Linked DNA regions of Macaca fascicularis. The protein of the gene in region 1 purifies or fractionates together with the protein of each later gene. This does not show direct contact. Links are inferred from orthologs where the notes say so. Each region holds a gene or a part of one and is shown in the gene's direction. Other genes may lie near its edges.

The links.
Region 2: the proteins of RAB6B (region 1) and GDI1 purify together in Homo sapiens (co-immunoprecipitation; 3 studies listed by BioGRID and IntAct, counting the BioPlex papers as one, with this or other methods). This does not show direct contact. The link is inferred for Macaca fascicularis from reciprocal best matches to the Homo sapiens genes RAB6B and GDI1.

The regions. Positions count from the first base shown.
Region 1 is NC_088376.1:36,745,768-36,755,691, reverse strand, and holds part of RAB6B (ras-related protein Rab-6B), read left to right. Parts: intron 1-3,510; coding exon 3,511-3,564; intron 3,565-3,783; coding exon 3,784-3,889; intron 3,890-5,569; coding exon 5,570-5,681; intron 5,682-6,924; coding exon 6,925-7,018; intron 7,019-9,924. UniProt on the Homo sapiens protein: The small GTPases Rab are key regulators of intracellular membrane trafficking, from the formation of transport vesicles to their fusion with membranes. Rabs cycle between active GTP-bound and inactive GDP-bound states.
Region 2 is NC_088395.1:160,432,676-160,443,193, forward strand, and holds the start of GDI1 (rab GDP dissociation inhibitor alpha), read left to right. Parts: upstream 1-5,424; 5' UTR 5,425-5,519; coding exon 5,520-5,564; intron 5,565-6,831; coding exon 6,832-6,939; intron 6,940-7,071; coding exon 7,072-7,171; intron 7,172-7,312; coding exon 7,313-7,447; intron 7,448-8,253; coding exon 8,254-8,452; intron 8,453-8,719; coding exon 8,720-8,851; intron 8,852-9,749; coding exon 9,750-9,849; intron 9,850-10,273; coding exon 10,274-10,445; intron 10,446-10,518. Other genes in the region: ATP6AP1 (V-type proton ATPase subunit S1), read left to right, coding at 177-251, 620-813, 1,272-1,312, 1,972-2,057, 2,556-2,794, 3,460-3,507, 3,594-3,825, 3,990-4,199. UniProt on the Homo sapiens protein: Regulates the GDP/GTP exchange reaction of most Rab proteins by inhibiting the dissociation of GDP from them, and the subsequent binding of GTP to them. Promotes the dissociation of GDP-bound Rab proteins from the membrane and inhibits their activation.

The DNA.
Region 1 (9,924 bases):
ACCATAGCAATAGATTTATTTTGGTTTTCTCTTAGTCCTCTGGTGTAACCCTCAGTCCTGAGATGATCTTGTTCCTCCCAAAGCCAGCCTTTCTGGTGTTTCAGTGGAGTCTGAGGTGTTTTTGAAATTCTTTTAATTTGGTGGGACTGAGGAGTTTCTTCAGGAGGCAAATTGGTTTAATGTAGAATCTACCTAGTTCTCTTCCATTCCTTCAGCGATTGTAACCTCTGAGTACGTTTTTGTTTTGTTTTGTTTTGTTTTTTTCTTCTGAGCCAGAGTCTTGCTCTGTTGACCAACCTGGAGTATAGTAGTGTCATCATGGCTCACTGCACCCTCAGCCCCACCAGCCTCAAGCAATTCTTCCCCCTCAGCCTCACAGGTAGCTGGGACTACAGGTGGGCACCCCTGCACCTGATTAATTTTTATTTTTTATTTTTTATAGAGGCAGAGTCTCACTATATTACACAGGCTGCTCTCAAACTCCTGGGTTCAAGTGATCCTTATGCCTCGGCCTTTCAAAGTGCTGGGATTATAGGCATGAGCCACTGCGCCCTGCCTCGTCCTGCTTTTGATCATTCTTCAGTGCTTGCAAATTGTTATTTCTTGTATTTTTCCAGATATTAAAATAGTTTTCTGTGCGAGGGTTTGTTTGATACAAGCCACTCAGCCATTATTGAAAGCAAAACTTAGGAATATGTTTTTGAGCAGAGCTGACGGCTCAGTTACACCCAGAGACAATGCCAATGCTTTGGCACCATCTCCACAACTATGGAAGTTCTTCAGTGGCTCAGTGGCCTGGTCAGATGGAGAGTGTGGCTAGAACAGGTCTGAGAGAGTGGACAGTTAAGGGACCAGAAGTTTCTCTGATGGGGAAGCTGGAAGTGGGAATTAAGAGAGAGCTGGAGAAAATGGGATGTTGGCCTCGTTCAGTTTCCTCGTTGCTGCCTCTGGTCAAGCTGTTATGGGATGTGAGAGAAAGTATATGGATGTTCAGTAATGGTGTTTATGATTATGGAGGCCACTGGGTTGAGCTTTGCTGGGACTTCATCCAAGTAGCACAATTCCTTGTTTCATTTGGTGACTTCTCTGCCCTTCATGGAAGCAGAAGTGCCTTGTGACATGTGAGGTGTGATGGGATTGTCATCATTACAGTTATCAGTAGCATTACTATTGGGTGCCTACCTTTGAGGGATACATTTCTCCGTGGTTCTTTGCTTGTTAGTTAGGCTATAGTTAGGCTATGTTAACAGAAACCCAAAATAACAGTGGCTTAAACAAAATAGAACAATTGAGCAGTCCAGCGCTGCTGAAGTAGCTCCTCAGGGTCAGGGAGTCAGGCTTTGTTGATGTCATCGCTCCTCTGTCATCCTCATCTGGATGGGCCACTATGACTCATCCCCACCGGACAGTGGGAAAGGGAGCAGCTGTGGGTACTCCTTGCCCACAGAGGACCTGTCCCCAAATATGCCTGCATCACCTTCACATCCCATTAACCAGAACGTAGCCACCCAGCTGCAAAGAAGGCTGGGAAATATGGTCTTTATTTGGGGCAGCCCTGAGTCCATCTGCACACCCAGAATTCTGTTACTATAGAAAGGGAGACTACATACTGGGGACAACCAACGGTCCCTGCCACCAGACCTAAGCTCATGCACCTGGTTTTCTTTCAAGGGTGACTCTACAAAAGGAGCATGTCACTCCTGGGGAACCTGTTGAGCACTGAGGAGTTCAGAGACTTCTACCTGCTATGCACATTTCTCCATAAGGGAATCAGAAGACAAGGATTGTCAATCTAACATATACCTACCTGTGAAGGAAAAAGTCTGCATCCACAAGCACTGGTCATTGCAGATTTGTCCCTCGGTGGCTACAATATGCGAAGCTGGGCTGGAAAGAGCCCAGGTGCTGCCGAGGTTGCAGCTCTGATCTTCCCAGCCCTGCTCCTGATGAGTGAAGTCACACTAGGCATGTCCTTTAACCCTCTTGGTCTGTTCTTTCATCGCCAAAGTAAGGGATTGATTGGGTTTTATCTAAGGTGCTTGTCTAGTGCCCTCATTCTAGCATCATATGCTCCAGAACATAGAATCACTCTCCATATCTTTGTGTTATGAAGCAAGCTTCCAGGAGGATGCAGCCACCCTCAGTCCTTTGTGGAACGATTTAGGAGTGTGACTATGTGAACATGTACACTTGTACACACACATTGGTGCACACCTTTGCATTCAGCCTGGGGGGCCTGGAGACATGACCTTTTCTATTTTCTTGGGCTTCCTTTGGTTTTGTTTTTTGCAGTCGAAAATCATAGCATTCCACACAATTAAACTTATTTATTAAACTTTATTTCAAAGGACTTTTCCTAATTTTAGAACTGTTATATGTTCATTGTGGAAAGTAGAGAAAAGTGTAATGAAGGAAACAAAATGCACTGCCACTATTCAGACTGTGATGCTATTAACGTTTTAGCAGATTCCCTTCACTTCATTGTTGAAGAAAACATGAATAATACTCATAGATCTACTTGAGTTAATCTAATTGGGATCACTCACCACATGATGTTTTATAACCTGGTTTTTTTTTTAACTGGATGACCATTTCCCCAAAGCCTTAAATATGTTTTCAAGAATGTGATTGTTAACAGCTGCCAAGGATTCTAATCACATGGATGTACCACACTATGCTTATTCAGTGCCTTGGACATTTGGGCTGTGTCAAAGTCTTTGTTATTATTGATTACATAGCAATGATATCTCCATCTTACATTGACAGCATCTCAGTCCTACTGACAGGTACTGGGTGCATGTGAGGCCCAGAGAGGTTGGTGGCCTGCCCAAGGACACACAGAATCCTGGCCATCTGGCCACAAGACTGGCTGCCTCTCGCAGGTGCCAGGGCAGAAGAGGCATAGGTGTGGCACAGGGGAGCTGGTGACAGCTTCCAACGTTTTGGCTTGAGAAGAAAAGAGCCAGTGGGGCCTCCCAGCGAGAGGCCACTCTGGGTGGTCTGCAGTGCCCGCACCTGAGAAAAGCCATGCTGCTGTTTGCCCCCACACAGCAGCAAGCTGCCTCCTCCCACCCTCCCGAGGCCTGTGTTGAGCCCAGGGCCATGCTTTAGGGCAGCGGGAAGAGGCTTTGGAAGCTGCAGATTAGGCCGTGAGGGGAACAAGGCAGGGAGCCCAGGTGGGGAGGGCAGGATATGTGTGTTGAGTGGCCTGAGTGGCCTTGCTCCTGGGGCGGCCTCCTCACCACGGTGCTCTCACTGCTCCCGAAGCACTTTCCCTCTCCAGAGAGGATCTCGCCCTATAAAGGCCACCCCCATCTTTCCTCAGCTTGATCCCTCAGTAAGAGGGCTGCTGAGTAGTGGGTGGAGGGGCAGGGAGGACAGAGGATGGCCATGTTAGACCTGACATGGACGTCCCCTCTTGCTGGTTACGCCACCACCTGCGGTCACCAGGCTTTTGCCCCTTTGCATGAGACCTTTTGGTTTTGACTGTTCTGTGCTTTTCTCTAACAGGCAACCATTGGGATTGACTTCTTGTCAAAAACCATGTACTTGGAGGACCGCACGGTGAGCACCTAATATTAGGACTGGGAGGGACAGGGAGGGTTCCTTTGGGCTTATCCCCTAGGATCTTTAGCTGGTCACCACTGAGAGCCCCTGCCGACACTGGGGACTGGAGCTGGTGCTGCCAGCATTGCAGAGCCTGGCTCTCCCAGTTCCCCGGACCAGGAGGACCTCACTGCCCCACTGACCCGTCTGCCTGTGGTCCTACCCTCCCTGAGACAGGTGCGACTGCAGCTCTGGGACACAGCTGGTCAGGAGAGGTTCCGCAGCCTGATCCCCAGCTACATCCGGGACTCCACAGTGGCTGTGGTGGTGTACGACATCACAAGTGAGTGAGCGTCTGCGCCTAAGGGAGGGTGGCTCATTGGGGGTTCCAGGGCCCAGGTGTGACTGTGGCCAGGCCTGTGTGTATGCGTGTGTGTGTATGCATGTTTGTGCACATGCATCTGTGTGCACACGTGTGTGCGATTGCTCCCTAAATGGAGAAAGGCAGGGAGCAGTGGTGAGTTGCCTTTGAACACCAACATGTTTTCCACTGCCCCCCACCCTCCTGCAACAGGCAGGGGTTTACAGGGCCAGGTTGGCCCTGCTCAGAGCAGGGGCCAGCATGTGGTGTGAGCAGATGCTCACAAGGTCGGCCCTGCTCCAGCCTCTCTGCACCCTCCCTCTCCCTGGCTGTCAGAAAGCTCCCTAAGGAGCTACTTCTGTATGTGTGTCACCATGGGAGAAGACGCTGGTCCCTAGGTCAACCCCGGCCCAGCAGCTGTGGGTGCAGGACTCCCTGGGAAGGTAGGCCAAGGGGGTCTGGAAGCGCAGTAGACTGGTAATCCTTCTCCAGCACCGTGGCTCTTCAGGCCAGAGCAGGTGTTCTTAACAGGACTGCACAGCCTCGAGGGCGCACAGGGCCAGAGGTGGGGGCAGGGGCCGATGCAGAAGCCAGACCTGCAAGGCTGCTGTAATGGAACACACCTGATAAGCCCTCAGGGCTGTGGTTACCATGAAGTGGGCGGATGCCCTAGGTGCTGTCCACAGCCCTAAAATCACACAAGGAAGCATGTGTGACCCCACGCTGGTGCATGCCCCTACCACCCATCCTGCTGCCCTGGCTCTGCCCGCCCCCTCTGTCCACCCCTCTTCTGACCACAGGCCCCATCCACACCTGAGTGCAGGTGGGAGCTGGGCCCATAAGGGCCTGAGTTCACATGGCCTGAGGCGCATCAGAAGGGATACCAGGCTGTGTGAAACTGAGGCTTCTGAGGACAGCTGCCTCCCCTCCCCTTGGGTGTGCAGGCTGCGGAGTGGTGGGCTTTGCCTTAGAGCTGCTCTGCCCTGCAAGGCTTGTCATGGCAGCTGAGGGAGGTCAGGCTGCCAAGAAGTGGCCTTGTCTCTCCTGGATTTTTGAGTGCACCTGGCTCCCCTGACTAGTCCTGGGGCCACCTTTCCCCTCCTCTCACCTGCAGAGCCTGAGGGTTCTCTTCAGAAATCCCTCTGGCCTTCCCCTAACTCTCCTGAGCTCCCCTGGTGGGGAGGCCACTCAGTAGGGTCCTTCCTTCCCTAGAGGCTTCTGTGTCCTCCTCTGCCCACCCCTCACTGTTTCCAAACTTGCCAAGTTGTGTGTGTGTGTGTGTGTGTGTATATATGCACACACGTGTGACCCAGTTCTCACACTCCACTCTGAATCCCCAGAGTCAGGTCTGACTCTCAGGCGGGCCCCTAAAGCCACTATTTCATGTAGCAAATCATGACGCCATGATCTTCCAGATGGGGTGATTCCTCTCCCACAAAGGGCGGCTAAACAGTGCAGGCGGCTCCCAGGGCTGCAGGGCAGGGCCTGGTTCCCTCTGAAAGGCCCTACCCGGCTGATCTGTGTTGACTGAGCTCGTACCCTCCCTGGGTATCTGAGGGCACATGCTCACCCTCCCTCCTGCTCCTGGCTCACACATCCCCTTCCCATCTCCTGCTGGTGGCTGGCCCTGGCTTTCAGTTTTTCCTCACTTTCTGCCTCCAGATCTCAACTCCTTCCAACAGACCTCTAAGTGGATCGACGACGTCAGGACAGAGAGGGGCAGTGATGTTATCATCATGCTGGTGGGCAACAAGACGGACCTGGCTGATAAGAGGTAGGTGCAAAGGGCACACAGGTGCAGGGTACCACCCTCCACTCCTCTCCAGCTGCTCCTGGACGGGGAGCTCTGGGATGCGTGGGTGGTGTGTCTGTGCTTCTGACCATGCATCCGGAAAAGGTCCCTTGAGACACTAGGAGCTTTGAGAACACCTGGTAGACTCTCACCCCTGGGTGTCTCATCTGTGAAGCCCTGCCTTCCACCACCAGGCAGGGGCGGGGCACTCCTCCGTGTGCTGTCTACACAGAGCCCTGTGCACCTGGCTTGGCCCAGCAGTGCATGGTCTAAGACCCTGCCATGGCCACAGCACTGCCCCAGACACAGCAGTTCCCTAAGCCCCAGTGTGTGTACTGCGAACTGTCTGTGCCTGTGAAGTGTCTGCACCAGTGTGCATGGGGGTGCGAACACCCTGGGCCCTAGGTGTGAGCATGCAGAGCATTCAGACCACAAACCTATAGCTGTAGCCTGCTTAGCCTGGTTTGTGGCTGCATCTGGCATGAAGCTTTCTCTGAAGAGTCTCCTCCATGCTGCCCTCCATGCACAGGGAGAACTGAGGTGCCATGTGTGTACGCTGTCCACTCGTTTCACGTGACCCTGACTTGGGCAGATAAAGTGACAGGCCATGGACTCCAGCAAGCAGTGCAGGCTTCCGCAGTGTCCCTTGAGCACCTGAGGAATCATCTGAATTAGAGCCTGCTTTACTAGAGTTCTGTCCTTAAAGTAAGGAAAACTGGGCTCAAATCCCAGTACAAAGGGCACCTAGGCCCTTCATACCCTCAGCCACTTCTGCCTGCCCCATCATGGAGCCCTCTCTGCTAAGCAGCTTTGTGGCCCCGGGGGAGACACTTTTAGCATTAGTGTTCTCATACGGAAAATGCGACTAATAGCACCACCCAGAGTGGACTGTGTGGCTTGAATCTCTTCACAAGCACAAGCTCTGCAGTAATTACTACTGGGAAAGGCAGGCGTGGGGCATCCCTACCCCAGGGCCTGCTTTGAAGCTGAGAAGACACGAAGGAAGGAGTGGGGGAAGGGGATAGTGTCCTGCTGTTCCCTGGTGCTCGCTTTGTGCTAGAGACTATGGTTGGTGCCCAGGAGGGACCCCTGGGATCAGAGCCTGTCTTCAGGGCTGACCAAGGGCCTAGTGGGCTCCCTCTGCCATGCTGGGCGGGTCCCTCCTCATCTCTGCCAGGGGCTGCTCCTCTGCTGAACTGATTTCCCCCCTTCCCGTCATCTCTAGGCAGATAACCATCGAGGAGGGGGAGCAGCGCGCCAAAGAACTGAGCGTCATGTTCATTGAGACCAGCGCGAAGACTGGCTACAATGTGAAGCAGGTGAGGACACACCTGGCACCGGGCCTGGCACGGTGTGGTCCTGTGGTCAGCCTCAGGCTCAGACCTGCCTTGCCCTGAGGGGCTGGTGGCGGGGTTGGGGCAGCCAACCAGAACACCCATAGATGCGCCCAGGGCAGGGAGAGCTAATTTCTGGAGCTGGTAAAGCCCAAGAGAGGGAGGGAGCACTCCGGGCATGGCGACTGGAGAATGTAAGTCACCAGCCACCATAGCAGTGGCCAATCACAGCCCATGTAGCAGTCCCTAAGAGTGTCCAGCCACCAGCTTCCAGGTGGCTGAGGGAAGCAGTGGTTCCCTAGCCCCTCACCCCACTTTGGATGACGCATGCAGGAAAATTCAATCCGATCAGCATTTGGGGTTCATGCCTTGCACTTAGCAAGTGCTTAGGGCTGCGGAGGGCAACTCAGGCCTGGAGAAAAGAGCCCACCATGGTGTGGCTGGAACTCACAGGAGGGTGAGGCAGTGGAGTTAGGGCCGAGCCTTGCAGCATGAGGGCCCCTGAGTGGTCCATGGATGGAATTTAGCAGGTCAGCAGACAGGGCTGGAAAACATTGCACCTTTTATCTTCACTAACCACTAACCCGTCCATAGCACTGAAGGATGTCTGTTTGTCCTTCAATGATTAATGTAGGCAATGACGCTCAGTCGTATTAGTGGTGCCTATGGCTTTACCACCAGTAGAAATCACAGATGCCTTCCCATCCCCTCACAGTGTTGCAGATACCTTGAACTTTACATGCATCAGTGTTTCAGTGTCACAGTAGTTATTGGATCTCTTACTAGTTCTCACTGTTCAATGTGTTCATAAGGAAGCACGAATGTCGATGAGGTGTATTCCAGTACTCAGTAGTTCCCTTTATCATCCTATGTCATTGATTTCACATACTTCAAAGGAGTCCATGGGCTTCACCAGACTGCCAGAGTGGTCCTTGGCTCACGGAAAGGTTGAGAACTCCTGCCACTGGGGATGCGAATAGGACTTGGAGAGGTGGTGAGGAGGGAGGGCATGCCAAGCAGGGGAGCAGCACAGGTGTGGCTGCAGGGTGCCCGAGGTGTGGGGAGGGGACTCTGGATGAGGAGTGTGGTTGGCCTGGCGTTCGCTTCTGCCCTGCCCCCTGCATTGCTGGGAACCCTCGGCAAGCTGTGTATGCAGCACTGGCCTTTTGGATGCAGTGATGGTTTGCCCTGTGCGAACAGTGCTGGTGGCAATGGGGAGGGTGGGCTGGCAGAGCGACAAGAAGAGACAGAGTGGAAGGGACACTGTGTGACACTGGGGGCCCCAAAGCTCCAGGACTCAGCACCCCACCCTAACTGGAGTGCCCTCAGCAGGGCTCCACTCACTCCCATCTGTTCCCAGCCTCCCTTGGTGTGGGGCTGAAGCTGCCATGGTCCTTCCTGCTCCCGGGGACCATGGAGGAGAGACTGGGCTGCTGCTCTTTGGGAGCGCTAAAGTAATGGGAAGCAGGGAAGCAGAGGGAGGGCAGCACCAGCAGGTCCATAGGGCAGGTAGCATCTGCCTCAGCAGTCAGGGTCAGGGAGGCACTGATGCCCCCACCCCCAGAGTGCTCTGGAACCCACGCAGTGGTTTAGCAGGAGTTAAATGTGGTCCGTTTCGGACCCTACGTGGCTCAGGGGAGTCTCCATGCAGTGCAGACTCCTGGATCTAAATGTGAGCATTTCCACTCACAGAAACCCGTACCTGACCCTAGAGCACCCTTCAAAATCCCTAGTGGCATTTGGGCCACTAGTCAGGGCTGTGACCGTTTTGAGAGCCAGACAGGCAGATAGGAGCCGCCCAGGGCCAATGCCATGAAGGAAAGCTCAGGAAGGATGGCCCAGGTCCTTTGTACCCTTGCCTACTAATAGCTACCCTACCGCAGAGCCTCCTCTGCAGCCCGCCCACAAGGCTCTCACACCGTGCTGGGCCCACCAGGAGCTTCCCGCCTTGGGCCCTCACGGCCTTTAGCCCTGTCACTCAGCCCGGGTGCTCAGCTGGGGCTGGGCTCTGGGGTGAGGCCATGAATAAGACTCACCCTGTCTTCAGAGAGCTCATGCAGTGGAGGGCATGAGCCCAGAGCCCACCCAGCTCCTGTAATTCGTATTTGTGAGGAGAGCAGGGAGTGCTCCTGGGTTAGTCCTGTCAGGCTACTGTAACAAATCATTATAGGTTGGGTAGCGTATAAACAACAGAAATGTATTGCTCACAGCTCTGGAGGCTGGGAACTCCACAGTCAAGGTGCAGGCAGATTCAGTCTGGTGAGGGCCCATTTTCTCCTAGATGGCACCTTCCTGCTGCATCCTCACAATGTGGAAGGGGCAGACAGGCTCCCTCGGGCCTCATTCCTAAGGGCGCTCATCCCGTTCATGAGGGCTCTACCCTCCTGACTAAGCACCTCCTAAAGTCCCACCTCTTTATACTGTCACATTGGAGATTCTGTTTCAACATAGGAATTTGCAGGGGACCAGCATTTGGAGCATAGCCGTTCAGAGTCTTCTGTGCCTCATACTTCTGCCTTGTACTTGTCACCTCCAAGATTCCATCTCTGCCCGCACCCTATCTGCCACTTGCCACCTGTCCCCTGCCACCCATGCCTGCCCCAACACGCGCGCGCGTGCACACACACACAGAAAACCCACATGCACGCAGACACGCACCTTACCAAGGAGACACTATAGACACATTCCCCCCACATTTACACAAACACGCACACAAAGATACCACACATTCACACACACCACACGTTCTCCCGTATGTTTACACAGACACACATGCACCTACCCACACCTATCACTCACAACACACACATTCTCCACGCAGTCCTACAGATAAAACACATACACTGTACACACACTCCCACAATCAACAACTCACACTCCACATCCAAACA
Region 2 (10,518 bases), on another chromosome or scaffold:
AAGAGACGAGTCTCCCACCCACCACCACCAACACACAGTCGCGCTCCACTATACCGAACCTGACTCTCAGTGAGACTTTGCTGGCCCTGAGAATGCACGGGGAAGGTGGCTGTCCCCTGCCTTGGCCCCCATTCCTTGTCAAACCTCCTCAGATGTCTCCCCTGTTTCCCTATTAGCTGAGCATTGAGGATTTCACAGCATATGGTGGTGTGTTTGGAAACAAGCAGGACAGCGCCTTTTCTAATCTAGAGGTAAGAGTCCTCTCCCAGCCAGGGGCCATGGGGGACATTCTGTGCTTCTCCCAGCATAAGAACTGTACTCTTACCTCATATCAGGGTTACTTGGGTCTGAGTCTCCTCTGGGATGCCTCCTCCCTCCCCCCCCGCCGCAAACAACAACAACAACAACAACAAAACCACCTCATACTCTTAGCAGAGACACTGGCTTTGGGGTAGAAAGGCCTGGGGCCTGAATGTCAGGGCCTGGGGTGTGGGCCATTTTCTTGGTGAGCCTTTGTGGGTATGGCTTGCCAGAGGAAACCTGCCAGAGAGGTTTGGGGGGCTGGCCCAGGCCCACTGGCCCCTGGCTAACTCACCTTTTGCCTCTCCCCTGTCACCAGAATGCCCTGGACCTGGCCCCCTCCTCCCTGGTGCTTCCTGCCGTTGACTGGTATGCAGTCAGCACTCTGACCACTTACCTGCAGGAGAAGCTCAGGGCCAGCCCCTTGCATGTGGACTTGGCCACCCTGCGGGAGCTGAAGCTCAACGCCAGCCTCCCCGCCCTGCTGCTCATTCACCTGCCCTACACGGCCAGGTACTGCCCACATGGCCCAGCCACCAGCCTCGGGGTCCAGAGAGCAGCAAGGCCCTGGGCTATGGCATGTGGTGGCACCGTTCGACCAAATATGCCAGTACTCCCCACCCCCTCACAGCCCTTCTAGAAGGTGCCGTGTGTGGCCAGAAGAGGTGGGGAGGGCCTCTTCTGTGATTCAGGAGTTGGTGCCTAGCTCCAGAGATGAGGCAGATGTGAGCCCTGTGGGTGGGGAGCTTTCTCACCTAGCCAGGCCCTTGTCACAGAGCAGGTGGCTAGGACTTGAGTGTGACTGAGAAGCCTCGGGGTGAGATGGGCTTCCAGGAGTGGGCACTGAGGTAAGAGTGTGCAGGCTTGGTGTGTGGGGCTAGTGGGGAGGAGAAGCTGGGGCTGGGGAAGGGTAGTAGGCAGCACAGGTCCAGGCCGCCTGAGGACTCTGGTGCTCTGTTTGTCTTCCATAGCTCTGGTCTGATGGCACCCAGGGAAGTCCTCACAGGCAATGGTGAGTAGAATCAGGGAGGATGCACATCCTCACCTAGCCCTTGGGCGGGGACCACAGACAGTTGGCCTGCAGCTCCTCAGCCTCCTCACTCCCAGGGTGGCCCTCCTGCTTCTCGGGGCAGCTGACAGTGGAGCAGGGAAATGCTGGCTCCCAGGACTAGCCAGAGACCACTTAGCAGAGGACCCTGTCCAGCCAGACCCCACTTGGCAGAGGGGGGGCCCTCTGTGCTGGAGGCTATGGAGCCAGTTTCTGTGCATGCAGCGTGAATCCTAGAGTTATGGGTTTAATAAGACTGCAGACATTTGGAAAAACAATTCTGGGGACTTACCTATTTGCAATAAAGAACAGTCATTGCCCATGGAAAGGCAGTCACAAACCTTTCATGGGTGGATGTGGAGTTTTCTGTATTGATATGTATTTTCTCGTGTCACATAGGTAGGGCTTGGCATTAGGAAGTTGATGACCAAAGCCACAGTTGTCCAGGGGGGAGGCTAGGAATGGGGGTGGGATGAGAAATAGCTGCTCCTAAGGATCCTCAGTGGAAAGTAATAACACCACTTTCAGATGGTCTAGAAGGTTTCTAAAGCAGACGGTGGGGAGTGTTTCTTTACACAGGGTGCCTGGTGACTTGACTCTCTGCTCTCCTTTTTGACCCTCAGATGAGGTCATTGGGCAGGTCCTGAGCACACTCAAGTCTGAAGATGTCCCGTACACAGCGGCCCTCACAGCGGTCCGCCCTTCCAGGGTATGTGCCCTTCCAGCAGGGGCTCTGGGGCATGCAGGGAGAGGCAGTGTGGTGAGTCTGTCTGGAGGTGGGGGGTGTATGCCACAGGCAGGCTGTCCGGGAGGCCCAGCATAGCGGAAGCATCAGGCACAGAACCCCTGTGGTGTGACTATTTGGAGTGGCTTGTCCCTGGGCTGACTCTGGGGGAGGACTAGGATGAGCACTCAAGTGCTGCCTCCCCATTCCAGGGGCAGCTTTCCATCTCGTCCTTTGAGGCTTGTGGGTGGCAGACTTGGACACTAAGTCTAAATGACCCTAAGTTTGAGGGACTAGGAATGTCATCAGGGTTTAGGGGCCATCAGGGAAAGCTTTCTGGAGGAAAGGCCTCCTCTGGCTGGTGGGACTTTGAGATAGTGGACAGGGTGTCCTGTCGGGAGAGGAGGGAGGGCACGACAGCTGGGTTGGAGTATGACAGTCTCCCAGGGCTGCTGAAAGAAGGCTGGTTGGGTGTTTCTGCAGGTGGCCCGTGATGTAGCGGTGGTGGCTGAAGGGCTAGGTCGCCAGCTGTTACAAAAACAGCCAATATCACCTGTGATCCATCCTCCTGTGAGTTACAATGACACTGCTCCCCGGATCCTGTTCTGGGCCCAAAACTTCTCTGTGGCGTACAAGGACCAGTGGGAGGACCTGACTCCCCTCACCTTTGGGGTGCAGGAGCTCAACCTGACTGGCTCCTTCTGGAATGACTCCTTTGCCAGGCAAGGGCACTAGGCTGGGGAGGACTGTGCCACCACAGGTGACCTTCCCACCACTGTGAGTTGCAGGTGGGGCAGGGAGCCAGGGTCAGGTCTGTGTGTTGGGGTGGGGATGGCCATGGTCTGGTTGGGGTCTGGGCAGTGTGAGGATGTAGGAGGTGTCATGGCGGGGGGTGCTGTTGGAGGGGAGTTGCTCAGACTTCTGCCTCCCCATGCTTGTGAGTCTTTGGTTGGGACCTTGGTTGTTAACACCTCCCCCTTGAGCAAAACTTCTGGGACTTTGTGTGGGCAAATGCCAGGCCAGCTACCTGAGGCATTTATGGGGCAACCATGCCCTTCTGTTTGCTCTCACCCCCAAAGCCCAGCCCAGGCACCTTAGTGACCCTAAGAGGGAGTAAAAGGAGAGGTAGTGAGCTCAGGGGAACCAGAGGAAGGACCCCCATGCTGGTGGCAAGGGGAACCTGGGTCCTGGCTTCCAGCTCTGTTCTGGGCTTGCAATGCGACTGGATCCTCAGTTTTCCTATCTGTCAAGTGGGGTCACTGCTTCTTCAGGTGGCTGCAAGGACCCAAGGCAGCTTAGGTAAGAGCAGAGCTGAGGAACTTGTTCCTCTAAGATGCCAAAGGCCCTCCCAGAGCCTCATGGTGCACCTCTTTCTCTGCCTCCACAGGCTCTCACTGACCTATGAACGACTCTTTGGTACCACAGTGACATTCAAGTGAGTCCTGGGGTGGTTGAGGTGTGGGGAGGCTGGTGTGGCCCCAGCCTCCCCAGCTCACCTGACATCCCTGCCACCTTCCCCAGGTTCATTCTGGCCAACCGCCTCTACCCAGTGTCCGCCCGGCACTGGTTTACCATGGAGCGCCTCGAAGTCCACAGCAATGGCTCCGTTGCCTACTTCAATGCTTCCCAGGTCACAGGGCCCAGCATCTACTCCTTCCACTGCGAGTATGTCAGCAGCCTGAGCAAGAAGGGCAGTCTCCTCGTGGCCCGCACGCAGCCCTCCCCCTGGCAGATGATGCTTCAGGACTTCCAGGTATGGCGCAGGGGTGGCCCAGCTTCAGGTGGGGGAGCCCAGGCTGGTGTTTGAGAAACGAAGAGAGGCTTGGGCTTGGGAGTCCTGTCCCTGCGCTGCCCTTGTCCCAGTCCTTGCTGGGCCTCCCAACGGTCCTTTCTGACCCGTGTCTGTGTGTCTGCCAGATCCAGGCTTTCAACGTGATGGGGGAGCAGTTCTCCTATGCCAGTGACTGTGCCAGCTTCTTCTCCCCCGGCATCTGGATGGGGCTGCTGACCTCCCTGTTCATGCTCTTCATCTTCACCTACGGCCTGCACATGATCCTCAGTCTCAAGACCATGGATCGCTTTGATGATCACAAGGGCCCCACCATTTCTTTGACCCAGATCGTCTGACCCTGTGCCAGTGGGGGATTGAGGGTGGGACAGTGTCCGTGTTGTTGCTTTCCCACCCTGCAGCACACTGGACTGGAGCTTCCCTCTTCCTACCGCAGCATGAACCCCAAGCTCCCCTCAGCCCATCTTGCTCCCTCTTCAGCCTGCTGAGGAGCTTTCCTGGGCTGCCCCCATCTCTCCCAACAAGGTGTACATATTCTGCGTAGATGCTAGACCAACCAGCTTTCCAGGCTTAGTCGCTGTGAGGCGTAAGGGACATGAATTCTAGGGTCCCCTTTCTCCTTATTTATTCTTGTGTCTACATCATCCCTGGCTGTGGATAGTGTTTTTGTGTAGCAAATGCTCCCTCCTTAAGGTTATAGGGCTCCCTGAGTTTGGGGTGTGGAAGTTCTACTTAACTGTCCTGCTTGGCTGTCGTTATCGTTTTCTGGTGATGTTGTGCTAACAATAAGCAGTACACTGGGGTTTATTTCTGTGGCCTGAGAAGGAAGGCACCTCCACAGGTGGGCTGGGTGCGATCGTCGGCTGTCTGGCATGTTCCCACCGGAAGTGCCTGGCAGGAGCAGGGGGTGCTCGGTTGTTTCCTTCCTAATAAAGTAAACGAGGATCGCCATGCGTTGGGCCTCTTGTCGCTCATTTCTGCGCTGAGCTTTTGGCGCGTGCTCGCCAGAGGTATGCGGGAGGATGGAGCCTGGAGAGGGGGAGGCTAGGAGGCATCCCCGGAGACCGGGAGGGGCTTTAGTAAGCTGGGCCCTAACCGCTTAGGTCAGGGAGGGGTGGTCGGGCCGAGTCCCGGTGCGCTTCGGCGTCTCAGGAGGCCGTAGTGACAATGGCAGCCTTCGCGTCGTGAGGGAGCCGCCCCCGGCTGCCGCAGCGGCGCGCGTCCGGTCGCGGGGCCGCGCCGAGACTCCCGGGGGGCGGGGCGGGCGCGCGCGGGGCGGGGCGGGGCGGGGCGCGCCCGGCTCCCGCGCATGGATCCTTCCCGGGCCGCAGCACCGGCCGCCGGCCCGCCCCGCCCGCCCCGCCCGCCCCGCCCCGAGCCTCTCTGGACTCTCGGCGAGCAACGTCGCCCGCGGAGCCGCGCTGGTGCTGTGGCCCGGGCCCTGGCAGCCCTCCCGGGAGGCGAGCCGGGAAGGCGGTGTCCCCTGCCGGGTGCGGCGGGGCGCGGGAAGAGGCGGGACTCTTTGACGCGGCGGAGGGGTCGGGCGGCGGCCGACGCTCCGCCATCTTTGGTCCAGTGCGGTGGCGGCGGCGGCGGTGGCTACTGCTGTGGTGAAGGAGGAGGAGGAGCCGAGCGGGCGCTGCCACTGAGGCCTGACCATGGACGAGGAATACGATGTAATCGTGCTGGGGACCGGCCTCACCGTAAGTGCGGCCCCGGGCGCCCTTGGCCCTGCGTCGTGCCCTCGCCATTCCCCGCGATGATGCGGCCGCCGGCCCATCCTCCGGTCACTGCCATCTTCTGCGCTCGGCTCCCCGAAAAGCCGGCGCCGTGCCCACCCCGCTGCTCCCCCCGCGATGTCGCCTCTGTTCGTTGCCATGACCCCATCTCCCCGAAGGGGCCCCCTTCCTGGCCGCCCCCTGGCCTACCCGGGTCCGACCCCCGGCGCTCTCCCATCTTCCCTACCCCTGCCCTCTGGACCGGAAAACGCACCCCCACTCGGCCCGTTGCCCCCGACCCCGCCCACCCATCGCCCCCACCCCGCCCACCCATCGCCCCCACCCCGCCCACCCATCGCCCCCACCCATCACGGCATCCACCCGTCGCCCGCACCCATCGCCCGCCTAGCGTTGCCTCCCAGCGTCCCTTCCCATCTTGCGCTAATCCCTGTGAGGATGAAGTACAAGGACCTGGGGTCAGGGGGCCTCGCCAGGGTGGGCTCTCAGCCCACCCCCTCGTCGTCTTCTGGGGCCAGGGGATCCAGGGAATGTTCCAGAAGGAGCAGCAGTGGGGGCAGTAAGCACATTCCCGCAACCCCACCTCGGTTGCCCATGGAGACCTCAGGCTGAGTAGCATCTGCAGCCTTTGTCCTTGGGCTAGTGACAGTGACTGGTGAGGGTGTTTATCTTCCCCCTTTCCCCGAAAATCCCGTTGGCCCACTCCCCTCAGAGACTCTTCTCCCTCGGTCCAGACCCAGATGCCCCTCCTCAGCGGCAGGGGCTCCTGCTCTTTGAAGAAAGAGCAGTCCAGGGTGGGGCCTACAATTTCAAGGACTGTGCTAAGCCTTTCTTTGCTTCCCTTTGGAGTGTCTTTCGCAGTCCAGCTGGGTCCCCTCTGTGCCACATTGTGTTTTATCCGCCTTTTTGTGCGGCTCTGCGTAGGTAGATGCCTCTCGGCGTGTTGGTACTGGAAGGCCATCCTGTGTCTGCTGGATGCCCTGCCTACCTCAAAGCCTCCGTTATTTCACTGTCTGCCTTGTGAGGGGGACGGTCTCCTTTACCCCGCAAGGTTGCAATGGAGAGTGTGGTCGGATGAAACCATCACCCCAATTTTAGGCGAGGCAACTAGCCGGTGGGGGTGGTGGATGGAAGGAGCTGTCCACTGAGGCAGGTTTGGGTGGGGAACAAATCAGGGCTGCTGGTAGGAGCAGAGGAAGGTGGGAGTGCAGCGGATTGTGTGGCCCTCCCCCAGGAATGCATCTTGTCGGGCATCATGTCTGTGAACGGGAAGAAGGTGCTGCACATGGACCGGAACCCCTACTACGGGGGCGAGAGCTCCTCCATCACACCCCTGGAGGAGGTGAGGCTGCCTGGGCCCAGGCCCATCCCTGTTAACCTCCCACACAGCGGCACAGGGTGGAAGTAGCTCTCCAGGTGCCTGGAGCAGGAGGAGGTGGTCCCTGAGGTGTCTCTCTCTCCCTTCTGCTTACAGCTGTATAAGCGTTTTCAGTTGCTGGAGGGGCCCCCTGAGTCCATGGGCCGAGGCCGAGACTGGAACGTTGACCTGATTCCCAAATTCCTCATGGCTAACGGTGAGGGACAGGAAGGAGGTATTGCAGGTCGGGGGTGATAGGGAAGACCTAAGGACAGTCAGGCTCCAAAGGAGGCACAGCCAGACCAGCTAGAACCTCTGGAGAGAGCCGTGCTGATGTTGCCCTTGTGCACCCCCACAGGGCAGCTGGTAAAGATGCTACTGTATACAGAAGTGACTCGCTACCTGGACTTCAAGGTGGTGGAGGGCAGCTTTGTCTACAAGGGGGGCAAGATCTACAAAGTGCCGTCCACTGAGACTGAGGCCTTGGCTTCCAGTGAGTGTGGGCCCCCTGAGCCAGAGAAATCATGGGGTGGCAGGGAAGCCAACTGTCTTTGGGATGGGTGGCTGTCCAGAGTAAGGCACCCCTTTGTCCAAAGTCACATTCCCCCATGAAGGACCAGAGGCCCTTCACTCTGTATTCCCTCTGCCCCATGTCATGCCGCATGGCTGGCTGCCAAGAGGGAGGTCCCCACGCAGCAGGGATGTGACGTGGAGGGGAACGGGACTCCTTTTGAAAGACTTGAGCGTGGCCAGGCACGGTGGCTCATGCCTGTAATCCCAGCACTTTGAGAGGCCTAGGCGGGTGGATCACGAGGTTAGGAGTTCAAGACCAGCCTGGCCAACATGGTGAAACCCCGTCTTGTCTCAAAATACAAAAAATTAGCTGAGTGTGGTGGCACACACCTGTAATCCCAGCTACTCGGGAGGCTGAGGCAAGAGAATGGTTTGAACCCGGGAGGTGGAGGTTGTGGTGAGCCGAGATCATACCACTGCACTCCAGCCTGGGCGATAGAGCAAGACTCCATCTCAAAAAACAACAACAACAAAGAAAACTTGAGCCTTTGGCAGGGGCTCCACTGGATCCTCAAGACATCCCCAAGTGTCCAAGCCAGGAAAGCCCTTAGAGTCCATCCAGGCCAATCCCCTCTTCATCCTGGTGGGGAAACTGAGGCTAAAAAGGGTGGAGAGGTTAACCTAAGGTCACAGGACAGCTGGGCTGGGAGTGGGGGTGCCTGCCCTGCTGAGATGGAGAGTTTTGTGCTGCGTTGGTGCAGAACCTCCTCCCGCCACCTTCCTTAGATCTGATGGGTATGTTTGAGAAACGGCGCTTCCGCAAGTTCCTGGTGTTTGTGGCAAACTTCGATGAGAATGACCCCAAGACCTTTGAGGGTGTTGACCCCCAGACTACCAGCATGCGTGATGTCTACCGGAAGTTTGATCTGGGCCAGGATGTCATCGATTTCACTGGCCACGCCCTGGCACTCTACCGCACTGATGAGTGAGGGGAAGCTGGTGTGGCGGCAGCCCCCTCGCCCGGCCCACCTCCTGCCCTCCCCACACCTGCCTGTTGTCCCCCTGCCCTGCATGTTCCTTGTACTCAGCCATAGGCTCACCTGTCACCCTTTCCATTTCCCCCTTGCATTTGATCCTCATCTTCCCCAGGCCATTCAGGGTGGTGGGAAGACTGGCCTGGTACCTGGTACCTGGGTGGGGGTAAGTCAGGGGTGCTGCTACTGGAGCATCTTCCCTAACCCCTGTCCCCCAGCTACCTGGACCAGCCCTGTCTTGAGACCATCAACCGCATCAAGTTGTACAGTGAGTCCCTGGCCCGGTATGGCAAGAGCCCATATTTATACCCGCTCTACGGCCTGGGCGAGCTGCCCCAGGGTTTTGCAAGGTGAGGACGTGGGTTTTTTCAGTTGGCATGGCTGAGTAGGACTAGGGCCAGGAGTGGAGATGGCCCCCTTGAGCATTTCCCTGGTAGCATTTCCTCCTTTCCAATTCGTGATTTTCATTTACTTCACTCCATCCTTGGGTGATGAGGGCACAACCCCAGTGCACTGAAGTACAGAAGTCTCCACACTTGCCGGGCGCGGTGGCTCACGCCTGTAATCCCAGCACTTTGGGAGGCCGAGGCGGGCGGATCACAAGGTCAGGAGATCGAGACCACGGTGAAACCCCGTCTCTACTAAAAATACAAAAAATTAGCCGGGCGCGGTTGTGGGTGCCTGTAGTCCCAGCTACTCGGGAGGCTGAGGCAGGAGAATGGCGTGAACCCGGGAGGCGGAGCTTGCAGTGAGCCGAGATCGCGCCACTGCACTCCAGCCTGGGCGACAGAGCGAGACTCCGTCTCAAAAAAAAAAAAAAAAAAAAAAGAAGTCTCCACACTTGAAGAACCAAGTTTCCACAAATGTGACTTGCTCAGTTCCCGGCAGCACCAGGACTGGGCCCAGGGCCCCAGAACCTTGAGTCAGGGCTTCGCTGGGAGGTGACCTATCTTGAGAGAGTCCATCCTGGTCCTTCAGGCTGTCTTGGTGCAGAGCACTGCTCCCTCATGCCCCCTTCTGCTGGTCCTTGGCAGTGTATTCTGGGCAGAAGAAGCTCCTGAGAGGAAAGAGCCCGCTGAGATGGGGCCAGAGTTCACGGCAGTGACACAGCTGGGATGAATCCCGGCGTCTCCTGCCTGCTGCCTGCCTGGGGCAGCCTTTTTTGCACCTTGGTGGAGGAAGGGTGACAGTGGAATTGGTCCCCGTTTCTCCTGGGAGGGGCCTTCACCAGGGCTGTTCTCACCACAGATTGAGTGCCATCTATGGGGGGACGTATATGCTGAACAAACCTGTGGATGACATCATCATGGAGAATGGCAAGGTGGTGGGCGTGAAATCTGAGGGAGAGGTGAGCCTTTCTGGTGCAGTGCAGTCACCATGGTTGAGGCAGGGCTTGGTCACCTTCTTTTCACCGTGCTGCCGGGTCTCCTGCTGCACAGCCCCGAGGGTCCTGGAGCTGGGAACTGGGCGTTCAGAAGTCTTCAGAGCCATGAATGTGGGTGAGGGGCTATTTCAGAGGCCACACGCCATGTCTGTAGTGCAGAAAGTGTACTTGATCACGGGGCATCTGGGAGGTGGGGGCGGGCACCCAGCCTATGGGTCAGGGCCCACCTCTGTGAGCTGCAGGGCAGGGCCATGCATTCAGGAGGGGCAGTAGTGATGGCTCCGAGGAGTGCCTTGTCTGCCAGAGCTGCCTGCCTTTGCTGTGAACACAGCCCCAAGACTACCTAAGGGAGTGATCTGACGGGCGAGGATTTCTGGTGCCTTCTCAGGTGGCCCGCTGCAAGCAGCTGATCTGTGACCCCAGCTACATCCCGGACCGTGTGCGGAAGGCTGGCCAGGTTATCCGCATTATCTGTATCCTTAGCCACCCCATCAAGAACACCAACGATGCCAACTCCTGCCAAATAATCATCCCCCAGAACCAGGTCAACAGGAAGTCAGGTAGGCCGGGTGCTGGTACAACTTCCTCTAGGGTGTTCTCTTTGGGGTTACCCTTTCTCTCCCCATCAGTGTC